2 linked regions of the Neurospora crassa OR74A genome follow. The protein of the gene in region 1 binds, or shares a complex with, the protein of each later gene. Links are inferred from orthologs where the notes say so. Each region holds a gene or a part of one and is shown in the gene's direction. Other genes may lie near its edges. The genes, in order: NCU09539 and NCU00564.

Region 1 (10,991 bases):
AAAAAACGGCGTAGGCATCCTTGGAAACCGAAATCGTTTTTGCCTGGTCTTCTGGTAGGCGCGCGATGGCGGGCTCAAAGACGGCGCGGGCCCAAGAGGAGGGGCAGACGACGGAGCATTCGAGGGGGGTGATGGAGATGTTTAGAAAGGTTGTTTCATCTTGGTGGTGGAAGTTACCGACGGGTGGTGAGGGTGTTGCTGATGGTAATGGTTGGCTGGGTGGAAGAAGGATCTGGAGGATGGGTTGGAGGAAGGTCGAGTAGAGAGGGAGGGGAATGTGGATGAGACGCAGGGTTCCATCCTGTTATTTTGGTTTCCGAGACAAAGAATTAGTGATGATATTGTGGGGTGAGAATGGTATAAAAAATAAGGAAAAGGGGATGTCTTACCAGGAAAGTTATTTGTGCGTTCATAGCAGTGAATGTGTGAATTGATTGCTTCCCTTGATCTGGAGTTCTCTTTGATGGTTTTCCGTAAAATGCCCAAGGCACACCTTGGTGGTTTTAAGAAAGACAGCCAAGATGGAACCCTTGTCACTTCTATTTCCTGCGATGATTCTTCCCCTTTGGAAATAAAATAAAATAAAACAAAGATCAAATGAATGGCGTCGAAGGAGTGATGAGAAATGAGGTGATCAAGGTGTGACCTTGTGACGTCTCGAAAAAGAGGAGTTGAGCTTTAAACAGTTTTTGGAGTAACACCTGGGTAAGGCGAAAGTGAGGTGCGTTTTGAGGGGTCCACTGGATCGTTTGGGTAGGTGACTGTTCCGGACTCCCGATCTATTCCGTACAATCAAAGCGGAGTCCGTCGAACGTCACGTCACAAAATGTCAGTTCTTGGGTTGTCGATCTGAAAGATAGGAGATAGATAGGTGGATCAGCAAGTAGCTATGTGAAACAAAGTAGGCTCGGTCGGACTGATAGAGACGCGAGTCCAGTCACCGAGGACGCGAGATGGAAAGGGAACTCTATGGGTAGGTGGGGGAGTATCGTCAAAGTATACAAGATAGGAGATTGTGGAAGTGGAAAGGATGGATGAGTCAACGAAGAGAGCAAGGACCAGAAGGGCCAGGATACATGGAGCTATTAAAGAAATTTGGGATGGATAAGCGAAGGTTCAGAAAAACAAAAGAGGGAAAAAAGACATGGGGATATCGAAAACAAGTGGAAGTTCGTTCGTCAAAGTGATGAATGTAAGAGGAGTGAGCGCTTCTCCAGTTCACACTTCCTTCTTCAGTTCTCCATCTGCTGAGTACAGTATCTACTTGCTCTCTTTGTGACATTGTAAAGCTTGGCGGGACAGAGGATGAAGGGGACCCGACCCGAGATCGGGGGGAAGCGTCTGGGTCCGGGAGAAGAACTGATAAGGTAGAGGTACCTTACCTGCCCGTGATTGTGCTATAACCTAAGCCGGGGCCCTGGCCATCGTGTTGGAGAACCTCTTTCGAACCCCACGGTGGTAGAACCTAAAGACGAAGTCCGCCGGCATATAGTACTGATGCCTGCATGCGATGCAGTATTTAGTGCTATGGCGATCGATGCAAGTCCTCGATTCAAATATTTGGATAGATCACCAGGCTGCATACCCAGGGGTTGACGATAGGTGTAGTGTACCTCTATGTTAGTGTACGCATGGAGTAGAACCTTAGGTCCAGTGCAGGTGGTGGGGTAGGCGATGTGAAGAACAACAGTCCGGACACGCTTCCGTTATAGGTATCGAACCAGACCCAGTAAGGGTCCGAGAGCTTTCTATCACATGAGATCGCCTGTGGGGGTATCTATCGGTCGGTCAGGCGCCTTGCATAGGTAGCTACGTATGTGTGATAGAACTCGACAAAACATAAAAAGAAAATGTCAGAAGAAAAAAAAGGAGTGGAGGAAACCCGGTGAACAATGTCTTTCTAGTGTATCAGAACCAGGGGGGGCAGGTGTCTTCGGCACATCACTTCAAGTTATCCACCTCCATGCTCGCGCACCTGCAGGTAACCGCGGGCGCTTGTCATGTCAAGCACCTCGGGTGCATCTAGCGTTCTCGAAATACTGCAACCGATTCCCATCATCTCTGTCTCACTTTGCCTTCTTGATGATGGATGTTGATTCCAGCGTACAGATTGCGGTCTTTGCCGGACTGCACTAAGATTCAAGATCACTCCGATTCGAATCATTGCCAAGCACATCATGAGTGGAAGATGTCGTTAGGAGAGGTGTCTACTTCTTTCTGTTTTGCATCTCCAGCTCCACCACTCTGGGCAAACGCCAGTAAGACAGATGGGTTACAACGCATACCTCCCAATGTACCTACAATGCCGGCACTAAGCAATGTAGTGTACTATACATGTAAAGCAAAGTCAAAGGACGAAACGCAGGTACCTCACCTCTGCTTGCGCCCTCGAGGTTGCCTGCCTGTCAGCCATGGGTTCTTTCACAGCCTTTCAGTTTCACCTCATTGCTGGTGACCTGGCGCCACCGCAACAACAATTAACTCTCGCAAAAGAGTTATTGGTTCTTCTCTTTGGGCAGCAGAAAGTGTGGGGGAAGCCTCTCTTGTGGAGTGGCGCAAAAAAAGACAGATCAAATCCCGAGAAGTGAACCCCCCCTCTCCTTCTTTCCCCTCTATTCCTTTCTAGTAGTCAGCCTGGATTGGATCACTATAGCCAGGAGGAAGCACATGTCGACCATCTTCGGAAACAGCCAACTTCTCGAGCCTTCGCCAGCCTTCACCTGATAGTATCCCTTCCAGTTACACACCGGTCATGTCGAGAAAACGCGGCACGTCAGAAGCCACACCGAGAACTTGAACTTGCCTTTGTACAACAAGAGACAAGAGATAACGCAGAAAAGAACGCCTCTGTTTCAAAGCTTTGTTCGTTCCCGCATGATTGGTCAAAAAGGTTCAATTGTATGTTCCGGTTTGATCTGCTTCTGCTTGACAGGTCGCGGTACCCGAGCTTGTGCCACCTGGAAGAGAAGGTTTAGACACCGATCATCGGACCGAGTTCTGGCTTTCACTTTGTCTGGTGACAGCGTCTGTCCGGAAGCAAATTATCAAACACCATGCAAGTGACTAGGGGATCCGGCATACCAAAGACCATGCTTGATGATCATCGGAATGTCGAGTCTTCTTATTCGGCTCAACATGCAACGGCAAACTGCAAGAAGGCTAAGAGCTCTCCGATCTAGGGGTAATGCTGCTGCAGCGTGGGACAGATCGCTTCAACCTATTGCGACATGCTGAATGGCAGTTCCCCATCGAAGAAGGATGCGACCATTAGCCGAACCGAAGGCGTGCAGAAATTCGGAACGACAGTCCTGCAACTCTCTCCATTTGCGGAATAAAACCCCCGGGATAGGTAGACATAGGGTATAACCTGGACGGACACAAAAATAGATATATCAGGTCAACAAGTCAAATGTCTTACAACATCCCGCACAACCCCAGGGGTACAATATCCGAGAGATTGCTGTATAGGTAGGTATGCGTGAAAGACAAAGGTGGCTGGGGAAGAGGAGACAACTCATCCGACATCGTTTTATTTTCCTACACGTCTTCTTATTTCTTGATACCCACAACGACGAGATTTCGAGGGCTCTGGCCATAGTCAAATACTGTCTCCACCCAGCAGTCGCGAACAATATCGGAATGTTCCTTGAGGAACAGGTACCGGTCAGTCACGATAAGGGACTCAACAACGCACGCGCTAAAGGCCATCAGGCTCCAGACTGCGCTGAGCTCCCGCTTTCGGGGCAGGTACGCGGCCTCGTACTTGGCAATCTCCTCGTCGGTGATGTCACTTAGCTTCTCGCGTACAATCTGGCTGTACTGGCTAAAGTCCGAGTTGGTCGTTAGCTTCGTGATCGCTCCGCGGACGTAGGCGCTGAACGAGGTGTAGCATTGCTTCCTGAGTGAGCCGATCACGACGGGGTTGGTGCTGAAGTTGAACGGGCTCTCGTTGCCATCCTCGCCCTCGCCCTCGCCCTCGCTTGGCCCGTGGTAGACCTTGGAAATGACCCCCTTGTCGAGGAATATCCTTTGCAAGACGGCGCGGTAAAAGTGGCGGGTGAAGAAGGCATCGCTCTCCTTGTCGGTCCAGTTCCCGGGTGCTTGGCACGCCATCATACGCGCTGTAATGTTGAGTCGGATGCCTTGGTCATTGTAGGTGGAGAGTTTCTCACTCATGGGGAAACCCTGGGGATCTCGTCTCTCGGACTCCCTAACAACACGAGCATTCAATGGCTGAAGGGTTGGCCGACTGAAGCAAGGCTTGAAAGTCGGAGGACCCAGTTTTTCGGTGAGAAGGTTGTAGCAGCAACCCACGATTGCAACGGCGTGGATAGACGAGTTGAGGACCATGGACCGGATGCCGTAGTGAGAGAGGTTGCCACATGAGTGGATGGACACAGCCATCATGCTGAGATCATCCTCGCTGTGAGTTTCCGTGTACTCCAGCTGGGAGATCACAGGGGCCAAGTCGGCATCTCCCAACTTGGCAACGACGTACTCAATGCTGCCCTTTCCTTCCTCCCGCGCATAAGTGGCCTGAAGCTCCTTTCTCGATCGGAGATCAATGGTAGCAATATCTTCGTCTGTCACACCCAGTGCCTTTGCGGCGCGCTTCAGTGCCTCTTCATCGTTGGCTTCTGACGGATCTACACTTTCCATAATGCGGTGGTAGAGCTTCTTGTTGCGGATTCTCTTCTCCCGCTCAGCTAGACCGGACAAGATATCGAGATCCTTAGCGCCTGCTGTGTTGGCCTCCTTGCTCTCCACGGCAACAATATGCTTGTTGTACGGAGGACTCGCCAGAGCGCGGCCTAGATAATTCTGGCCACTGCCAAAGTCTACCAAGTGCGTCAGTTCCTGTCCCCTCACCCGAGCGACGTCCTCCGAGAGCCTGTCGATGTATCCGGAAAAGTGAGTGACTTCGTGAACTTTCTTGGTGTTCATTCCCAAAGCTACCTGCCGAGGAAGCACCGGTAGTTTTGGCTTGCTGGGCTGGAAGGAGCGTCGTAAAGAAAGTTTCCTGATATCCTTGACATATTGAACCAGCGTCTCGGGAGGCTGTCCCGGGCCAGTTTGCGCGGCAAGTGTGTCAAGATCATCTCTCATCAAGAAATCCAAAAGGACCATGGGCTCGGTCTGCACCAGGTACTCCTGCCATTCCTTGGGAACGGCAGAGACAAATAGGCCGGGCTCGCTGGTGAAGAAGTCAAGAATGTGGACACCACCACAGAGAAACTGGAAAAGGTGGGAATTGGTCGCAAAGTCCAGCAGACTGTCGACATATTGGTCTGCAGATGAAAAATCATCCGAGTATGGAAGAGGCTTTTCTGGCCTCGCAGTAAAGTCGATCGTCATGATGTGTATGGTGAGTGGTTGTTCATCTGCATTTTTGGCACATCGCCATGAAATTTTGGCTTTCTTTTCGCAAGACTCATACGGTAAAGTGTATGCATGAGGTACAATCGCATGTGTATAACCTTTATGGCGACAGCTGGCGGAGCATGGGATGCCAGCTGTCCCGCACCCCAAATGCTCCGCTGCGGATTTGCACCGGCCAATGCGGGCTCCCCCACGATCCGCCGCCTGCCCGGCAAGTCTGCACGCCCGGTTCCAAATCGCGGGTTGCGGGTTGCTGAGAGCTGAGAGTCGAGACTCCTCCGCGATTCCTGAACCGAGTTATGCCCATTGCGACAAGGTGACTTATCGTCGGCTAACAAGATGGTACCTACAACGGCCTCTGCGATTTCCGGGAATATTTGTCCAAAAGTTCTAACATTTTATTGCTAGGTGTTCATCCTGGGAGTCAACTTCAATGAGCACAAGCTCGTCCAGGTGCGCTCTCCTCCTCGTCCTCGTCCTCGTCCTCCTCTGCGCTCCAAGAATCACCCTGGTTAACCTTCCACTTGCGAACCACAGAAAGCTCTCGAGAGCTTCTACGGCCTAGGCCAGCAGGCCTCTGCCCGCATTCTCGCAAAGTATTCGATCCACCCGCGCGCGAAGATGGGCACCCTCCCGCCCAAGATCGTCACTGCCCTGACGGCCGAACTGTCGACCATGACAATCGAGAACGACGCCAGGAGGCTGGTGCTGGACAACATCAAGCGCCTCCGTGATATGGGTACCTACCGCGGTCGTCGCCATGCCATGGGTCTGCCCGTGCGCGGTCAGCAGACGAGGAACCAGATCGCCAACGCCAGGAAGCTCAACAAGATCGAGCGCCACGGTTGAGCGAGTCGATGACGGTAATGGTGACGGGAACCTTGGAGAATACCATGACGTCTGGATATTTCTGGAGCAATTCTGCTACGCGACATTTGCTTCGATAGCTGTCGGACCATGGGATCGAACGCATGGACAGAGAAGAAAGAGATGTGCCTGACGTGGCTCGGCTGGGTGTTGTCGAGCTTTTAGAGCAGGCAGGCAGGCAAAATCAGTGTACGATACGTCAAGCCAGAACGAAGACACGCTGGGACGCAAAAGGAATCAGGCGCGGCGTTGTAGAGCAATTCATCGGATCAAGTCAAAACACGGGCAACTTTTTGCTTATTGACTCGAATCACGACAGACATTTATGATACCCAATTCCCGAGTCTATATGCTAGCCAGATCTTGTGTCTTTATATAAGCAGCTTGCCATCTGCAGGCTCATCTTGGAGCTATCTACGCTGCCACAAAACTTTGCGGAAACACGGTAATTTTCTCTACGTGCCGCCCATTCAGATGTCTACTCCTCGGGCATCAAGTTAGGCAGATCATCCTCCAGAGCCGACTCACCAGCAGCTTGCATCGTAGCCGCCACGAGCTCAACATCCCTCCACACGCGGAGTATGTTACCGCCCACGACCTTGCTCACATCCTCATCACTAACACCCCGTCGAAGCAGCTCGGCCACCAAGTCCGGGTAGCGCGAGACATCTTCCAGTCCCTTCGGGACGACTGGAATCCCATCAAAGTCACTACCCAGACCGACATGATCATATCCAATCAGCTCGCCAATATGAATGATATGGTCAGCCACATGCTCCAGAGTCGCATTGGCCGGGTAAAAATCCGGCAGCCCATCGTCCCTGTCCGGCGCCGCCACGCACGAGATAAAGTCGGGTGAGAAGTTGACCATAACCAGCGAGTTGCGCTCCTTGACCAGACGAAGGACGTCATCCGGCACGTTGCGCGGGTGGGGGCACAGCGCGTAGGCGCTCGAGTGGCTGAAGATGACAGGGGCCCTGCTGCCATTCCAGTCCTTGCCCGAGCCACCCAAAACATCCTTCATCGTGTCGACGCTGGTGTGGGCCAGATCCACGATCATGCCGATGCGGTTCATCTCGTTGACTAGGGCTTCGCCGGCCGGGCTGACGCCGCCCCAGTGGGACGGGGCCTTGCGGAATGGGTTCTCCTGCAGGGCGGCGTCGGCGTACTTGTTGCCGCAGTTGTGGACCAAGGTCGCGTAGCGGACGCCCAGGGCGTGGTAGCGCCGCAGCGTGGCGGCCGAGTTGCCGATCTGGTGCAGGCCCTCGATGCCCATGGGCGAGATGAGCTGGTTGTGGTGCTTCCAGGCCTTGTAGGCGGCTTTGCTGGAGACTGCCGGCCCGAGGTCCTTGGGATAGGCGGCTTTGAGGCGGTCGACTAGGTCGATCTGTTGGAGGGTAGCCTGGACGGCTGTGTGGTTGGAAAGGGATAATGTCAGACTCTTTTTCTCTTGACGTGCTATGCAGTAAGGCTGCGTGAAAGGTTGAACCCACCGGGCAGATAGTTTTCATCAGAAAAGTCGGAGCCGTTGGCAGGGCAAGGCCAGAACAAGCTCCAGAAGGCCCCTCCGTTCATACCAGCTCTCAGGCGTGCAAGGTCGACATGACCGGGGAGCGTGCCGTCTTCCCAGCCGGTGGTAAAGTTCTTGTCATTGATGTGGTTCTTGAAAGCGGCTCGCAGCAGGATTGGCAAATCATTGTGTCCATCTATACTCTATGTCAGTATTTGGTGAATAATTATTGATTTGTGGTCGTACCGATCAATGGAGTGTGTGACAGGATACGCTTCACGCGTTTTTCAATGCTCTTCTCCCTCGGGTAGCTGGGCAGGCAACCCGACATGCCATAGCTGGCGGGTCGGACGAGAAGGTGAAGCAATAAAAGAGAGATGATCACGGCGGCCCAGAACTTGCGGCCGAATCCTCGCCGTTGACGGCGCGTGTTGGGGGCGGATAAACGCTCAACATCATCCCCGACATCGCGGGTCTTTTCTTCCTTCATCTTCTCAGGGACGACTGTTTCACCAACGTTATGGCCGAAAAAGCGATGAATGAGGGAAAAGGGAAAAGAGATGCGTAAGTAGAAACAGGGGAGCGTGTTTACGGTGTTGTCGTTGAAGGATTAGAAATCGCCTAAAGCTTAGCGGGGTTACTTCATCTTAGTTGATAGTCCGCGGCGTTGTCATGTCATTGATGATGCGACCTGGAAATGCATACACTTCTTGAGTTAGATGCAAAAGAAGCGTGTATACTTAGTGTAGACCTACCGGTGCGTCTCAAGCGACTACATCTAGAATCCGAGTCAAGGCACGAATAGGTAATGTCGAAAGGAGTCATGAACAGTTACTCCAACTGAGATCTACACGTCTACTGAGTGGTTCGTAGAGTGGGTATCTTGGCGTATATGTATAAAGTGCAGCATCCATAACTGACGGGACCACAGCCTTTGGGCCGTGCCAGTTCCTTCATCTCCCATCAAAGTACATGACGAGCCCGAAGCACAATACTACTCAAATGTTCATATTCTGTTGTATCTCATCGGCGACCTTAACTCTGCTGGCGGCGAAGCTGCCCGATGGTGATGCTTTGCTACACTTTGTGGTCTGGACATCCAACGAGAGAGCGGTCTTGGCATGGACATCCGAGGAGGGACAGTGGGGTTCACAGCCCAAGTCTCAGTCATTCAGTTCAGCACTAATCCGCAGACCATTCACCTTCAAGTAGTGTAGAAGTGTAAAACTACGTTTCCAGAAAGAAACAGACACGGGAACTTGAGTTTGATAGGCTCCATCCCGTCTCAAGACCCCTCGACCCCTACACGAGGAGGTTGAGGTTACCTATTTTAGGGCGTACTTGTACCTCACGTGTGGATCCTTCTGACGCTGCCCCTCCTCCAATGAAACTTGGAACTGAATGAGTGAGACTTGGCTGCCCGATGACAGCCAACCCACCATGACACTTCTCGGTGGACACCGTCCCTGCACCTCCACCACTTCCACTCGGCCTGCCCGTACCTACCTTACCAGACTTACCTACCTGCAAGCGCACCACATCCTGCCGTCCACCTCTTCTAGTGTAGGTAAAGGAAGTGCACCCATCTGCGTGCTGTACTTGAAGAAGTTTGAGTGTGTGTTGCCCCTGTTTCACGAATGCCCGTTCGTCCCTTGTGCTCACTGACTGCTATTTCTGACTGCGACATCGACAACGACTGGACTTTTGCCTTGTGTCTTTCCAATTTGGCTGCCGGTGCTTCTCCTTCCCCTCCCCTGAAGCCCCCCCCCCAGCGTTTCTTCAACTTCACTTCTTTTTACTTTGACACTTTAGCAGGCCACTGCATTTTGCTCTTGTTGTTCCTTCCTAGTTCCGTCGGCGATCACCGCCAACTTCATGCTCATCACCCAGGTACCTAGTCGACTATCCAGGTAGTGATTTGGTCCCATATCCGGATAGTTGGATCCCACGACAAGGAGACCGGCATTGAGCTCCGTTGAAAGAGACCCCCGCTGCTATCACGGTGCCTGCGTCGTCTCCATCCCCAGGCCACTCGGCGGCGCTGCGCCCCCCCTTTAATCCCAGACCCGCCAGACTTACCCACCTTCCCGCCGCCTAGTTCAACTGGCTCTTCGAGAAACGACACTGACGGGATCAACCACCCCGGACCCCGACTTGGACTACCCTGACGGATCGTATACCGTATTCACCGGCCTCTCCTCAATCAGACCTAGGCGAGGATTATCAGCTGGGATCCTGCTTGCCTCAGCCTCACTCCAGCGTCGCGCGCCGACCAAAAACTCTCGCTGCCCCTGCTGCCACAAGTTTTCCCACAGTTAATTCATCCCAAACATCATCGTCTCTGCTACATACCACCGACTCATCCTATCGAGCGATAGCCCTCCTTACCACAATGCCGGGCTTCGCGGACTCCTTCTGGTCCAACGACTACGCCGCAGGTAAGTAGTTTGGCTGTCGCCAGTAGATCCGCTGTCGTTGTCGGCCGTGCTGACGCACACGTGCTCAGGCCTCGGGGTCCTGTTTGGCAAGCTCCAGCAAGGCGTGGTCGAAAACCGCCAACTCCTGACCATCGCTCGCATGCGCGCCGAAGCCGAGGACGTGTATGGTCAGCGTCTATCCGAAATCGCCCCTGCCGTTGACAAGATCCCGAACGGCTTCAACCGCGACGATGGCGCAAGTGTGCGCAAGGTACGAATCACATGCCAGCAAAGCCAGACCAGGCTTCATCTTGGCCGAGACAGCGTTGACTGACTTGTCTCCCCCGCCAGGCTTATGAGGGTGTGCGGACCGAGATGGAAGACGCCTCCAAGAACCACAAGAAAATTGCGCAAAACATCCGAGATCTAGTTGTGAACCCCTTTACGCGCTGGTGCGACGCCCACGAATCTCGGCTACAAAATTCGCAGGAAGAGCTCCAGGCAAAGATCAAGGCCCACGACAAACAAGCCGAACTCGTCAAGAAGCTGCGCAGCAACTATTTCAACAAGTGCCGCCTGGTAGAGGATCTCGAAGAAGAAAACAAGTTGGCCTTCCAAGACCCCGAATCGGCAGCGAGCCCGAAACCCAAGCAGCCAATTCCCGAAATCAAGGTTGAGCCCGAGGAGGAGGAAGATGACGAGCCGTACGAGATTGGCGATGAGACCTATTCGCCTGACCAGATCAAGAAGATCCTCGCCCACATGCTCAACAACATCAAGATGGGCGAGACCAAGGTCCCGATCCTGGGAACGTACCA
Region 2 (10,967 bases), on another chromosome or scaffold:
GAAGCCGCTCTCCGACCTCCGGATGCGTAGCCGCTGTCTGATAGCCGGAATAGTGCCAACGTCCAAAGTGACCGTTTGTCCTGGGCGAGCAATCTTTTGAAGGTACAATAACGTGGCAGCATTGTTGATGCGGAAGGTCGCCGGCGCCAAACTCTTAGTTTCTTCGCTGCCATTTCCTCTAGTTATACTAGGCCTGGGCTCCGTCCCAGACCCGGCATCGATAACGGCGGTAGCGCTGGATGCGGACCACTTGGCGAGTTCATCGGCAGCTTGCTGGTAGTGTAGACCCGGAGCAAGGAGCAGGCTGTCGAGCCAGCTGGAGCCGCCGGTGATGGCGGTGCGCTGGGCAACAGTGCTGAGGTCGGCGAGAGCTAGGAGACCGCCGGCGGAGAGCGATACGCCAGGGATGGGGTAGGTGGTCCACTGTGGGAAGGAAACCATGGCCGTGTACGGATCCGGAGATGCTGAGGTTTGGATCGGGGATCCCGGCTTCTGATCGTTTACTCCACCAACCTTGTCTCCGCTGTTGGTTTTAGGGCTGAAGGTTGTCGTTGTTATGGTCGTAGGCTTTGAACCCAGAACAGCTGAATCTGAAGTCGACGAGAGAGGCTCCAGAACGACTCAAAATCAATGGGCTTCTCGTTCTTTTAGGCTCTCAACTGAAGTGACTTGGAATTGAGCAGTCACTCCATCAATCGAAGGAAGCCGCGACGGGAGACACCCGCCTTTACGACTGTGATAAAATACTAGCTGTACGCAGGTGAACAGGCGATATAAAACAATACATACCGCCCCAATTGTGATACTTCACCATACATGAGAGGGCGAGCCCATGACGCCAGACTGCCTAGCAAGCCCTGCCAAGGCAGCCTATAATCTGATGATAGGTATCTTGGAGGCTTCGTTGGATGTTGTTTCCCTCTCTGGTTCTAGCTGAATGCCCACCCTTGTTTCTTGGGCATGACCCCACATGATAGGATAGATGGCTTCTAGTGTAACGGTATGAGCACCCGTGGGCGTTTTCTAATAAGTCCGAGAAGAAGGTTGTAGATCGCGAAGCTCACATTGTCAGCGAGTCTTGTGATGAAGCGAACCATCCACACCCTCTTGCCAGTTGACCGAAAAGAAAGAAAGAAGTGGAAAGATGGAGCCGATCCGACTAGAGTGGAACCCGAGATCACGGTGGGCCCAAGCTCCAAGTGAAGCTGCGCTGCCTGATTGACGACATCATTCGTCCAGCACCTGTGTACCATGCGGGGGAGGCCCCACTGAACAGCTGAAGGGGCCGGGGATCGCAGGCTCGCTCAGGAAACGACCAACGACGGAACGGACAAGAATTGTCACTCTGCATTTTGGTCTTGAAACAACATAGTAAATAACAAAACAAAAGGCCTGAGCAAAGTCGATTGACGGCATCATCTCAGCGCCAAACCACGCCAATACAGGCAAGATGCATTGATGTGAACAGACCACGAGATCTCACAGTAGGACACCTCAATTGTTGCCCTTGAGGTTGCAACTTCTGAACCTAACCCCCTTCTCCGCCTCTCCTCCTGAGCTCTCGAGCTTTCGTCTCGCAATGCGCCCGCGACTCCTTCTCCCTCGCGGGGACTTGGCCCGGCCATGCTCCCCGGCGATACACTCGACGACCACCCGATTCTTTACACAGAGCGCATCACTTCGCGTGGGAGTTCAAACAAGACCCCAACTCGGCTTCCTCAATGTGCCCGTGACCACTCAACAATATCGCTACCTGACGACCGAGCGCAAGGCGCGACTCAAGTACGACATCAAGCAGGGAATCAAGATCACTTCATACTTCTGGATGGCCGGCGCTTGCTGCTTCGCCATAGCATTCGCCCTTGTCCAGGAAACTCTCGAAGCCCGATATCCATCACCACACGAATGGAGCATGCTGAGTCGGATTTTCTTCCGCGGAGCCTTCTGCGAGCGAGACCAGACCGACCCGTCCCGCACAACCGACTGGGTTCATGTGACAAATTGGATCAAGAGCGTGGTAGACCGGTTGGAGGATCCCAACATTGACGGCAAGGGACTGAAGGATGCGCCGTCCGACAGGCCAAAAGGCACCAAGGACATCAGCTCCATGTCGGAGAACTGGAGACGGGGCTACTACGAAGCCATGATGTTGTACGCAAAGGCCGCAGAGAACGTCGAGAAGTGGGTAACCGACAAAACCCAAAACCTCACCATCCCGAACGACTACGTGATCGGTCCCTCCAACCCCAACCCGCGCCCCCTCCCCAACGAGAACTACCGACCGCCCAAAGAGGACGATTGCGTGCCGACCTTCGAGTCGCCCAACGAGATCTACATGCGCATCCTCTGCACCGAAGGTCTCACCAACCGACAGCGCATGGAAGCCGGCCTCGCCTACGCCACCTGGCTTGAATTCAAGCAGATCACGGGACCCGCCAACATCATCCTCGAAGACGCCGTCCACCTCGCCGCCAGCGAGCAAGCTCTCCTCACCGGCGGCCATTACCCCCTGGACACCAAAAGTTACACCCTCATCGACGCCGCCGGCCACCATCCCTCGTCCAACCTCCTGCAATCCATCACTGCGCTCGCCACCTTCCGCGCCCGCAACGGCGACGTCTCCTCCGCGCTTCCCATGCTCGTCTCCATCCTCCAAGCGCGCAAGGCCCTTCCAACTTCCGACCCGCGCCGCATCCCACCCCTTCCACAAAAGAAACAAACCTGGGCCGGCGCCGTTCTAGCCCTCCTCAAGGAACCTCCTTACCCCGACCCGCCTGAGGATGGCACCTTCCCCCCTTTGCGCGATGCCAAGGAACGATGTGAGGAGGCCGCGCTGAGTCTGCATATCGGGGAGATCATGTACACTGCCAAGCCTACCACCAACAACAGCAACAACAACACTTCAGCCACAACTGCTCATTCCCACCGCGAAGAAGGTCTAGGCTGGACTCGCGAAGCAGTCGACATCGCCGAAGAACAACTCCGTGGTCTAAGCAACAAGCAGTCTGCCATGGCCGCCAGACTTACATGCCGCGAGTGTCTGGCTGCAGGTTTAGAGAACTGGACGATGATGGTTTCGAGGCTGGCGAGGGACGAGAAAGCCAAGAAAGAGGAGCTGGAAAGGAATCCGGACCTCGACAAGCAAAACAAAACGAGTTGGTGGAGCTTCTGGGGACAGGGCGAACACAAGCAGGAGGATTTGAATAGGTGGGCGGCGGAGGAGAAGGTTATTGCCGAGAGACAGAGGAGGGCGGCAGATTTGTTGGAGGAGTTGGCAACGGGGAACAGGGGGTTTTTGTCATTTTTGCAGGCTTAGATCCCTGGATGGCTGGGATGGATGGATGGATTATGGTGCGGCCGCGAAGCAGCCTACCACTCACTCGGTCCACCAGCTCGTTGATCAGAGAGTGTGACCGGGACTGTATCTTGAAATGCATTAGTGAGAAGGAGCACAGGACAAATGGGCATAGAGCAGCTACTCGCTTGTTAGTGTTGTAGTATGTATGATTGTATGTTCGGTAGTTTGCTTCAAGCATTGTACGTATAACGGAAGCTTAGTACTTTGAGGGCAAGGCAGGATACAGCACTCCTTGCCCAAATTCACAATTGTTGGACAAACTCATCGCAAGGAGACTATGTGAGTTCGGCTATCTATCGATTCGAAACTCCTGAAAATTGGCCTATCTCTGAGTAATTGGCAGATGATCTTGATTCAGCCACTGCCCTTTGATGCCAGAAATATGGTGATGTTTTGAGAGGGCCACAATCACGTTTCCCCTTCTAAATGGGTGTAGCAACCCCGTCCTACTCATCCTTGTAGCCAGGAAGATTTTTACTCGACCCCTTGACTGATCTTTCTGCAAGGAACCACCAGTCTTGGGTTTCCAGAAGGTGTCTTAGGTCTCCTCCTCTGAGCCGGCATTGCCATCCGCCATCTTTTCTCTCTTGGCAATTTCCTTGACGAACTCCTCGTCGATACCCTCGCATTCATCCATCTTGGGAGGCTGGGCGTCTCTCTGGACTCTGACTTGGATCCTCTTGGTCTCTTCATGGTCTTGTTCCTCGATTCTCTTGGACCCCTTAGACTCATCGTTGTCGTCCTTATCCCATCCTGGCCATTTACCGTCATCCTCCTCTTCCTCAGGGAAGAAGATGTGAACTCTCTCATTAACGTAATCCTTGTCCAGGGCGACATCCTGCAGCCACTTCAAGACCGCTGAGCCGGCTTCTACGAGCACAAGCTCCATGACAAAGGCGTCCGGGCCGACACTGTAGGTAGGGCAACCGTAGCCGACGTAGCCGGTGACGGCGCGGCTACCGCCCTCAGGGCCAGCGATAAGGGTATCGAGGGGATCTTGATTCATGATGTAGGCACGCCCACGCTGTGTGAAAATTGCTTCGTTAGCTGGGTCATTTAAACTGGGTCAAAGGCCCAGCGAGAAGGAGAAGGCGCAACATACCTGATCCATGAACTTCTTGAAGCCCGGGCATTTTGCCTCACGCATATCGTAAAAGCCACCCAGCACAACAAGAGCGTTCAGCCTATGTCCGATCTTCGCCCAAACATCGTCATTGTCGAGATACTGCTCCACCTCGTCCGACATGTCACCAAGCGCGATGACATCGATCTTGGCCTTATCGTTGACGAACTGCGGCACCACCTTCTCAAAGATATACTTGAGGTGCTCCGTCGGATTGGCATTCTCCGAAATGCTGTTCCTCGCCGGATCGTGGTGCCAGCCCCAGTGAACCAGACTGCTACCCGGAATCTGATGACGAGCAAATTCACTCAGCCCTTTCTTCCCTTCAGGCCACCACCAGAGGTCACCGGGGTTGGCGAGAATGATACCAGGGGCAGCGTCGTCGGTGGCGGAAGACTTCTGCTGCTTGAGAGCCTTGACTATGTTCACCATCGAGCCCTTGTTGAGACCACCCTGTCCGCTAGCGACACGGTGTGCCAGAATGCCAAAGTCCTGGCAAGACTGGCCGAAGATGATCACGACGCGTGACTTGCTAGAGAGATCCTCGCTGAGACGGATCTTGGCGTGAGGTTCATCTTTGCTGGCAACCCCGAGCGGGAGGAGGACTTCCTTTAGACCCTCGGCTTCCAGCCGTGAGTCGATGATTTGGTTGACTGCCTCTGTTAGATTGCAACATTTGGGTCAGTATCAGCTCAAACTATTGTAAGAAATAGGGAGTTTGTTACATACGGTCGAATGCGAAGCGCTGGCAGTCGTTGTACCTCGTGTTCTTGGTCGAGAAATACTTGAAGTAGAAGTCGGGGTCATGCACGTAGCGAACTTCATCTTCCTCGTTGATGAAATAACTATACGCACAAGATATATCAGAGTGAGTGTCGTGGGAAGGATGACTAGGCAGATTATCACGAACCTGAGCTTCTTGAGATCTGGGGCGAACTTTGGTTCAGCCGGAAGGCCTGACCAACGGCGACGAAACATCTTGTATGTTGGAAAGTCGTCGAGTTTCCTGGGTGCGTTGTTGTGGAGGAGTCAAAAGACGGTTGCAAGCGAGAGGAAGGATAGCCTAGAACGCTGATCGCGTCGAGGAGTATTTAAACACTTCGTTGCTTGGAGGATCGCGAAGAAACTCGAAGGCCACGGAAGCGGTTGAAGATGGGACGGAAGGAGCCCAGCAGTTGTTCTTCCCTTCTCAGGCACAGAACGAGATAGGCGAAGTCGGAGTACGGAATGGGATGATACTAACGAGCGAACATGAGAAGGTAAACAGACAACGAACGAGACACTCGACTCCCTCTCCTCAGATGAATGGCCAAACCGCGATGACATTGCAACCGTCAAGGTGTTGACATACTGTAGGGTCTCTTGCCCATCTCATCCAGACCTTCCCCATCCCATCATAGAGATAACTTGCTTGACAAACAATTTTCATAGGAAACAGTCGCACACAAACCGAAAGCCGCTTCAACATGCAGGTGTTTCTTTTGGCAGGCTCAAGGTTGCTGCAAACGAGAGCAATCATCCGTAGACTGATAGAACGTATACTGCTAAACACCAGCGATCATCAAAGGCATTGGTAAAGGGTGCGTCGAACGTACGAAAGTGGTGGTGGATGTGGTTGTCACATGCGAACGGCAGGCATCAACCTTTGCAACCCGTGAACAACGTATTCGGTAAGGTACGGGTGAACTTAACACACTCGTTTCGCATACGACAACTACATCTTTGGTAGGTAGAATGATTCGAAAGGCACCACTCAGTCAACCCATCCAAAACAATCCTTCTTCCTCACACCCCCAGCCTGTAGCCAGAGATTGCAACGAAAAAGTGAAGATGAGCACAAAGCAAGTAGTAGTGTTGAGTTCGCGTCGCCTGGAGGCAGTGTAATACCAGGGACACAGTGGTCGGCAACCATAGGCAAGCCCAGAGGGATGCCGACCGAGTTGCAAAAATTAGAATAATCACGATTCTACTCCGTAGAGCAGTTTCAGAGATTAAACTGAAAAGAACAGATACTACACTTGATCTAAGCCAAAAGGCAAAGAGAGCTAAAGAAAAAAAGAAGAAAAAACCAGGTAAAAATTTGGGAGGGGGGGCCAGTCTTAAATAGGCCCAGATGTGGCCTGTGCACGAGCTGCAAGCTTGAGAGTTTGAGTGGAGCCCCGTAGAAAAAGTGCCGTCCAGCTGGTGTGCGACTGGCACACCTGGCAAAGTGTTTGTTGCTGCTTGGTTTGGCGCTTGCAACCTGCGATGAAAATGACACCGCCCGGCAGAATTTGTCGTTCCGCACGCGGCAGGGCTGGACGGCAAGCGCACAGGCCACTGGCCGCCGTGGGAGCCGGGGAGAGTGACTGCGGCTAGCGGGCGACGACGCCGGAGGGAAGCAACGACTGCAGTGCCTGTGACATCGATTTACGCGCCTCGATCCGCCGCTATCGACGCCCATCTCCGACTCAGCCCGCCAATCTGCCCCAGAACACCAAACCGCCAAAATGTCCATGTTTCGTGCCAAGAAGCTCGACCTCGGGTGCTTCACCAACGTCCGGGTCCTTCGTGACCACTCCAAGCGCAAGGCCTTTTTGGAGGCCGAGCCTGAGAGGTAACTACCTACGCCTTGCGATCCTTATTTGCGACTATAATAAGCACAAACGATCTGACGACTCCTTGCTTTATGATACAGACAAGCCCTGCGTTACGTTATTCGCAACACCACCCTCCCTGCCCGTACCAGGGCCGTCGCCCAGCTCCAGCTCACCCAGATGCATGCCTACACCAGGCCCACGCAGATCCGGAACCGCTGCATCCTTGGTGGAAAGAGTCGAGGTATCTTGAGGGACTTCAAGATGACAAGAGTATGTCGCTATCGATTGCTTCAAAGAAGGAGTGGTGTCCTAAGAGCTGAGCTCCGCATGGGAATGATGGAAACCTGCAAAGGCGCGCGACTTGCTAACACTGTTGGATCGCAAACAGTACAATTTCCGTATGAACGCCCTGATGGGTAACATTCCGGGTGTCAAGAAGGCCTCTTGGTAAAAGAGAGCATGGCTACAAGGAACCCAGAGGTTTGTTGTGGTTTGGAGATGGTGCCGGTACGCCCAGAGGCGAATAAACTCTGTTCAAAACCCAGATGGGCTCGGGCCATCGTGTTGGTAAGAAAGTATCACTGTACGCAGGGTTTTTGAGATACCCGTATAAGTAAGTGATCGCATGATGAGGAGTGCTTCAAAAGCTTTTCAGTGGGCAGAGGGAGTTTGTATGATGCATCCTTTTGGACATGGGAATCTCTCTCCCGATGCCCGCTGTGTAGAATTGTTGTTACAATATTATATTCAGACACGGCAAACGAATGAATGTCTTTTTCAAAGTAATCGAAAGAACCAATCTCCCCTAACGCCAAAACGCATGCAACCCCCAAGGTGCCTAATAACCGATCCGTCATCCGTCTGTTATTTTGCCCGCCACAGGATAGCTGTGAAAGCCTAGATCCCGATTATAAATGTTGAAACACGCTCCGCAAACCACATCTAGCATAAGCTGCCTCAAGAGGACTGGACGCTAGTCGCCTCCTCGGCGGCAACCGCCTGACCAAGAGCCTCAGAGACAACCTTCTCGCCAGAGCGCTTTCTCAAGACGTTCTCGATGAAAGCCTCGCCGGCCTTGTATGAAGAACGGACCAGAGGACCACTAGCGCAGTACAGGAAGCCCATGTCAAGCGCACGCTGCCTCCAGAGCTCAAACTCGTCGGGAGTGATGTACTTCTCGACCGCGAGATGTCTCTTGGTTGGGCGCATGTACTGTCCAAAGGTAACGACATCGACGTCGACCTTCCTCAATTCTACAAAGCAACATCATGGTCAGCATCCATCAAATGGGCAAGCGCAATTGGTATGACTTACCCCTCAAAGCCTCCCAGAGCTCCTCCTCAGTCTCACCCAGACCAAGCATGATGCTGGTCTTGGTGATAATGCCTTCCTTGCCCCGGACCTTCTTGACGTGTTCCAACACCTTCAAACTCTGGCGAAATGTGGCACGGCGATCACGCACGTAAGGCGTCAAGTTCTCAACAGTCTCAACGTTATGCGCATACACATCCAGTCCGCTCTCCGCCACAATCTTAACCATGTCCAAGTCACCAGCAAAGTCACCGGTCAAGGCCTCGACAAGCAGGGTCGGCTTCTTCTGCTTGATCCGGCGAATCGTCTCTGCAAAGTGTCGGGCACCACCATCGGCCAGATCGTCACGGTCGACACTCGTCAGCACAACATAACCGAGACCCCAGCGGGCCAAAGCCTCAGCGGTGTTCTCGGGCTCGTGAGGATCCAGCGGAGGCGGCTTGCGGCTTGTCTTGACGCTGCAGAAGCGGCAGCCACGTGTGCAGGTGTCGCCCATAAGCATGATGGTGGCCGTCGCGGCGGCCTTGTTAGAACCGCCCCAGCATTCGCCGATATTGGGACACCTAGCTTCCTCGCATACTGTGTGAAGATTGAGACCACGCAGGTCGGCCTTGATCTTGGCAAATTCGGGGTTCGCGCCAGCACTTGGGATGGGTGTCTTGAGCCATTCAGGCAAGCGGGTGATGGTACGCTTCTTGCCGGCGGGTCCGACTTCGGCTGTGCGCAGGGTGTAAGCTTCGCTGGGTGCGAGAGGAGCGGCTGACGATTGGTTTGCGATAAAGTCGTCGAGGGAAGCGAGAGTGGTGTCCTTAAAGTAGGTCGGGCGCGGCTTGGTTGCGGGCGCGGATGCGGATGCAGCTGATGATGACTCTTGCGATGTCGGCTGGCTGGATGGGCCAGAGGGGATGGTGGCGTATGACCGAGTCGACAGGGCGGCGGCGCGCGCAAGAGACCTCCGCAAAGGCGCCTGGAGACGCTGGATCGGGACCGGTGAAGCCATGATGTGTGATAAGTCTTGGTGTTGAGCTGGCCGGAACCCTACCAGTCGTGAACTGCTGCAAACAAGCCGGGGGATCTTGGGTGGCGGATGCGGATGATATGGATGACTACCGTTGGGGGAGCATGGGATGGAGACAAAAAGTTCGGCCCCCCGGTGCGCCGGCGCTTTTGGAGCCTTTGATGAATTTTAGTGGCCCACGCCGCCCATGTCCGGTTACGTAACGCCGATCATACCCGCCAGCTGCCGGGGCGCATTAGAGGCAGCTCTTGAACCGGCAAGACCGGGACCCCCATTCCTTGTGCTGCCGGCGATGACTCCATTTTGCGAACCCTTTTGGAGTCCAGCAGTTCACCCCATGTTGTTGCGCGTGGGAGTCTGGAAGCAGCCGACTGACTGACTTGCAGACAATCCTACCCGATCTGTTTCAACATTTTGCTACACCAAAGGTGGAACTGGGTGTTAGTGGCGAGGGTCCTGGAACGACATGAGCTTATATCTTTTTGTGCATTTCCATATATGTAAATCCCGTCGAATATGCATCTGCTGGTTGACGGCATTCGCTCCAACAGCCCCTCCAGGCCCTTCAGGTGGACCGGGGACCAGAGAGAAAGATGCCGTAACATCCGCATACCGTGGATGCTTTTGCCGGTGAGTCGGGCATCTTCGACGGTTGAGTATGAGGGGCCAGGTACGAGATATGTAGTGAGTGGTATTGTGAAGAATGTATAATGTAGATGGTCGATGAAACGAAGCTGCAACACAACCGACCCGACACAGGAGAACATGCCGTGCCAATGCGGTTAAGTGTAAGCTCTGCGCAGTCGGTGAAGTGTCGTAGTCAGGAGTACTCAGGGGAAAGACAGGCTCTTCACCGTGTCATCACCTCGCCAGCTTAAGCTTTACTTGTCTCTCGGGTAGATATGTACATACATAGATCTATAGACCTTGAGGCGGTAAAGTTAAGTCTTCGAGATCGTTCTTGTGCATGTTGGAAAATACCGGATCCGTGGCTACTGGCTAGTGCGTTTTCACGTGCGACTTTTCAGATGGACGAATGACCGATTTCTCACTGCACCTTGAACTTGGTCTGGTTCGTCATCAGAAGCTGCATAGCCACTGAGGGGTGAAGCTGAGGGGGGGACGCCCTGAGTGCTTGTTGGTGGGCACTCTCACAGTTACCTAGGTACAGTGCCTATTTCCATCCGTAAGCTGAACGAAGTGGAAGCTTCCTAGCGGGTTGAAAGAGAATGACCATCAAGACGACTCTAAACATAAGCACAAAACACAAAGCGATAGCTACCGACCCACATCGCCTTTTGCGTCTCAAAAGGACCGAAGCAGAACAAAGCGCAAAATCTTCGAACCTAGGCCAAGCCCCTGGTATGTGACTGAAAACAAGAGGTTCGCATGAGAAACATTTGTTGGCGTCAAGCCAGGCCGTGCCTGGGTTCCTGGTTGTTGTGGGGCTTCCTTGGAAGGGACAAAAGGGATTGTGGCTCGTGCTTGTGTACCTCAGATCTTAACAACAGCGCATGAGATTGAGCGTGAATACCATTAGTATCTCCCGTACCCTAGCCCTCTTCTCTGCTAGCGGCA

Evidence for each region.
Region 2: NCU09539 (region 1) and NCU00564 share a complex: the UniProt entries of both Schizosaccharomyces pombe proteins name them as parts of the mitochondrial small ribosomal subunit. The link is inferred for Neurospora crassa OR74A from reciprocal best matches to the Schizosaccharomyces pombe genes sws2 and mrp2.

What each region holds. Positions count from the first base shown.
Region 1 is NC_026505.1:4,522,315-4,533,305, reverse strand, and holds NCU09539 (putative mitochondrial 37S ribosomal protein SWS2), read left to right. Parts: upstream 1-5,559; 5' UTR 5,560-5,718; coding exon 5,719-5,721; intron 5,722-5,787; coding exon 5,788-5,832; intron 5,833-5,916; coding exon 5,917-6,228; 3' UTR 6,229-6,692; downstream 6,693-10,991. Other genes in the region: NCU09541 (hypothetical protein), read right to left, coding at 1-301, 390-413; NCU09540 (hypothetical protein), read right to left, coding at 3,550-5,355; NCU09538 (microsomal dipeptidase), read right to left, coding at 6,725-7,656, 7,740-7,952, 8,003-8,246; NCU09537 (rho-GTPase-activating protein 8), read left to right, coding at 10,149-10,194, 10,263-10,444, 10,525-10,991. UniProt on the Schizosaccharomyces pombe protein: Component of the mitochondrial ribosome (mitoribosome), a dedicated translation machinery responsible for the synthesis of mitochondrial genome-encoded proteins, including at least some of the essential transmembrane subunits of the mitochondrial respiratory chain.
Region 2 is NC_026501.1:7,983,989-7,994,955, reverse strand, and holds NCU00564 (mitochondrial 37S ribosomal protein MRP2), read left to right. Parts: upstream 1-6,765; 5' UTR 6,766-6,970; coding exon 6,971-7,077; intron 7,078-7,158; coding exon 7,159-7,330; intron 7,331-7,448; coding exon 7,449-7,511; 3' UTR 7,512-7,867; downstream 7,868-10,967. Other genes in the region: NCU00561 (hypothetical protein), read right to left, coding at 1-441; NCU00562 (hypothetical protein), read left to right, coding at 1,580-3,316; NCU00563 (hypothetical protein), read right to left, coding at 3,897-4,382, 4,461-5,140, 5,211-5,326, 5,392-5,459; NCU00565 (lipoic acid synthetase), read right to left, coding at 8,018-8,313, 8,375-9,371. UniProt on the Schizosaccharomyces pombe protein: Component of the mitochondrial ribosome (mitoribosome), a dedicated translation machinery responsible for the synthesis of mitochondrial genome-encoded proteins, including at least some of the essential transmembrane subunits of the mitochondrial respiratory chain.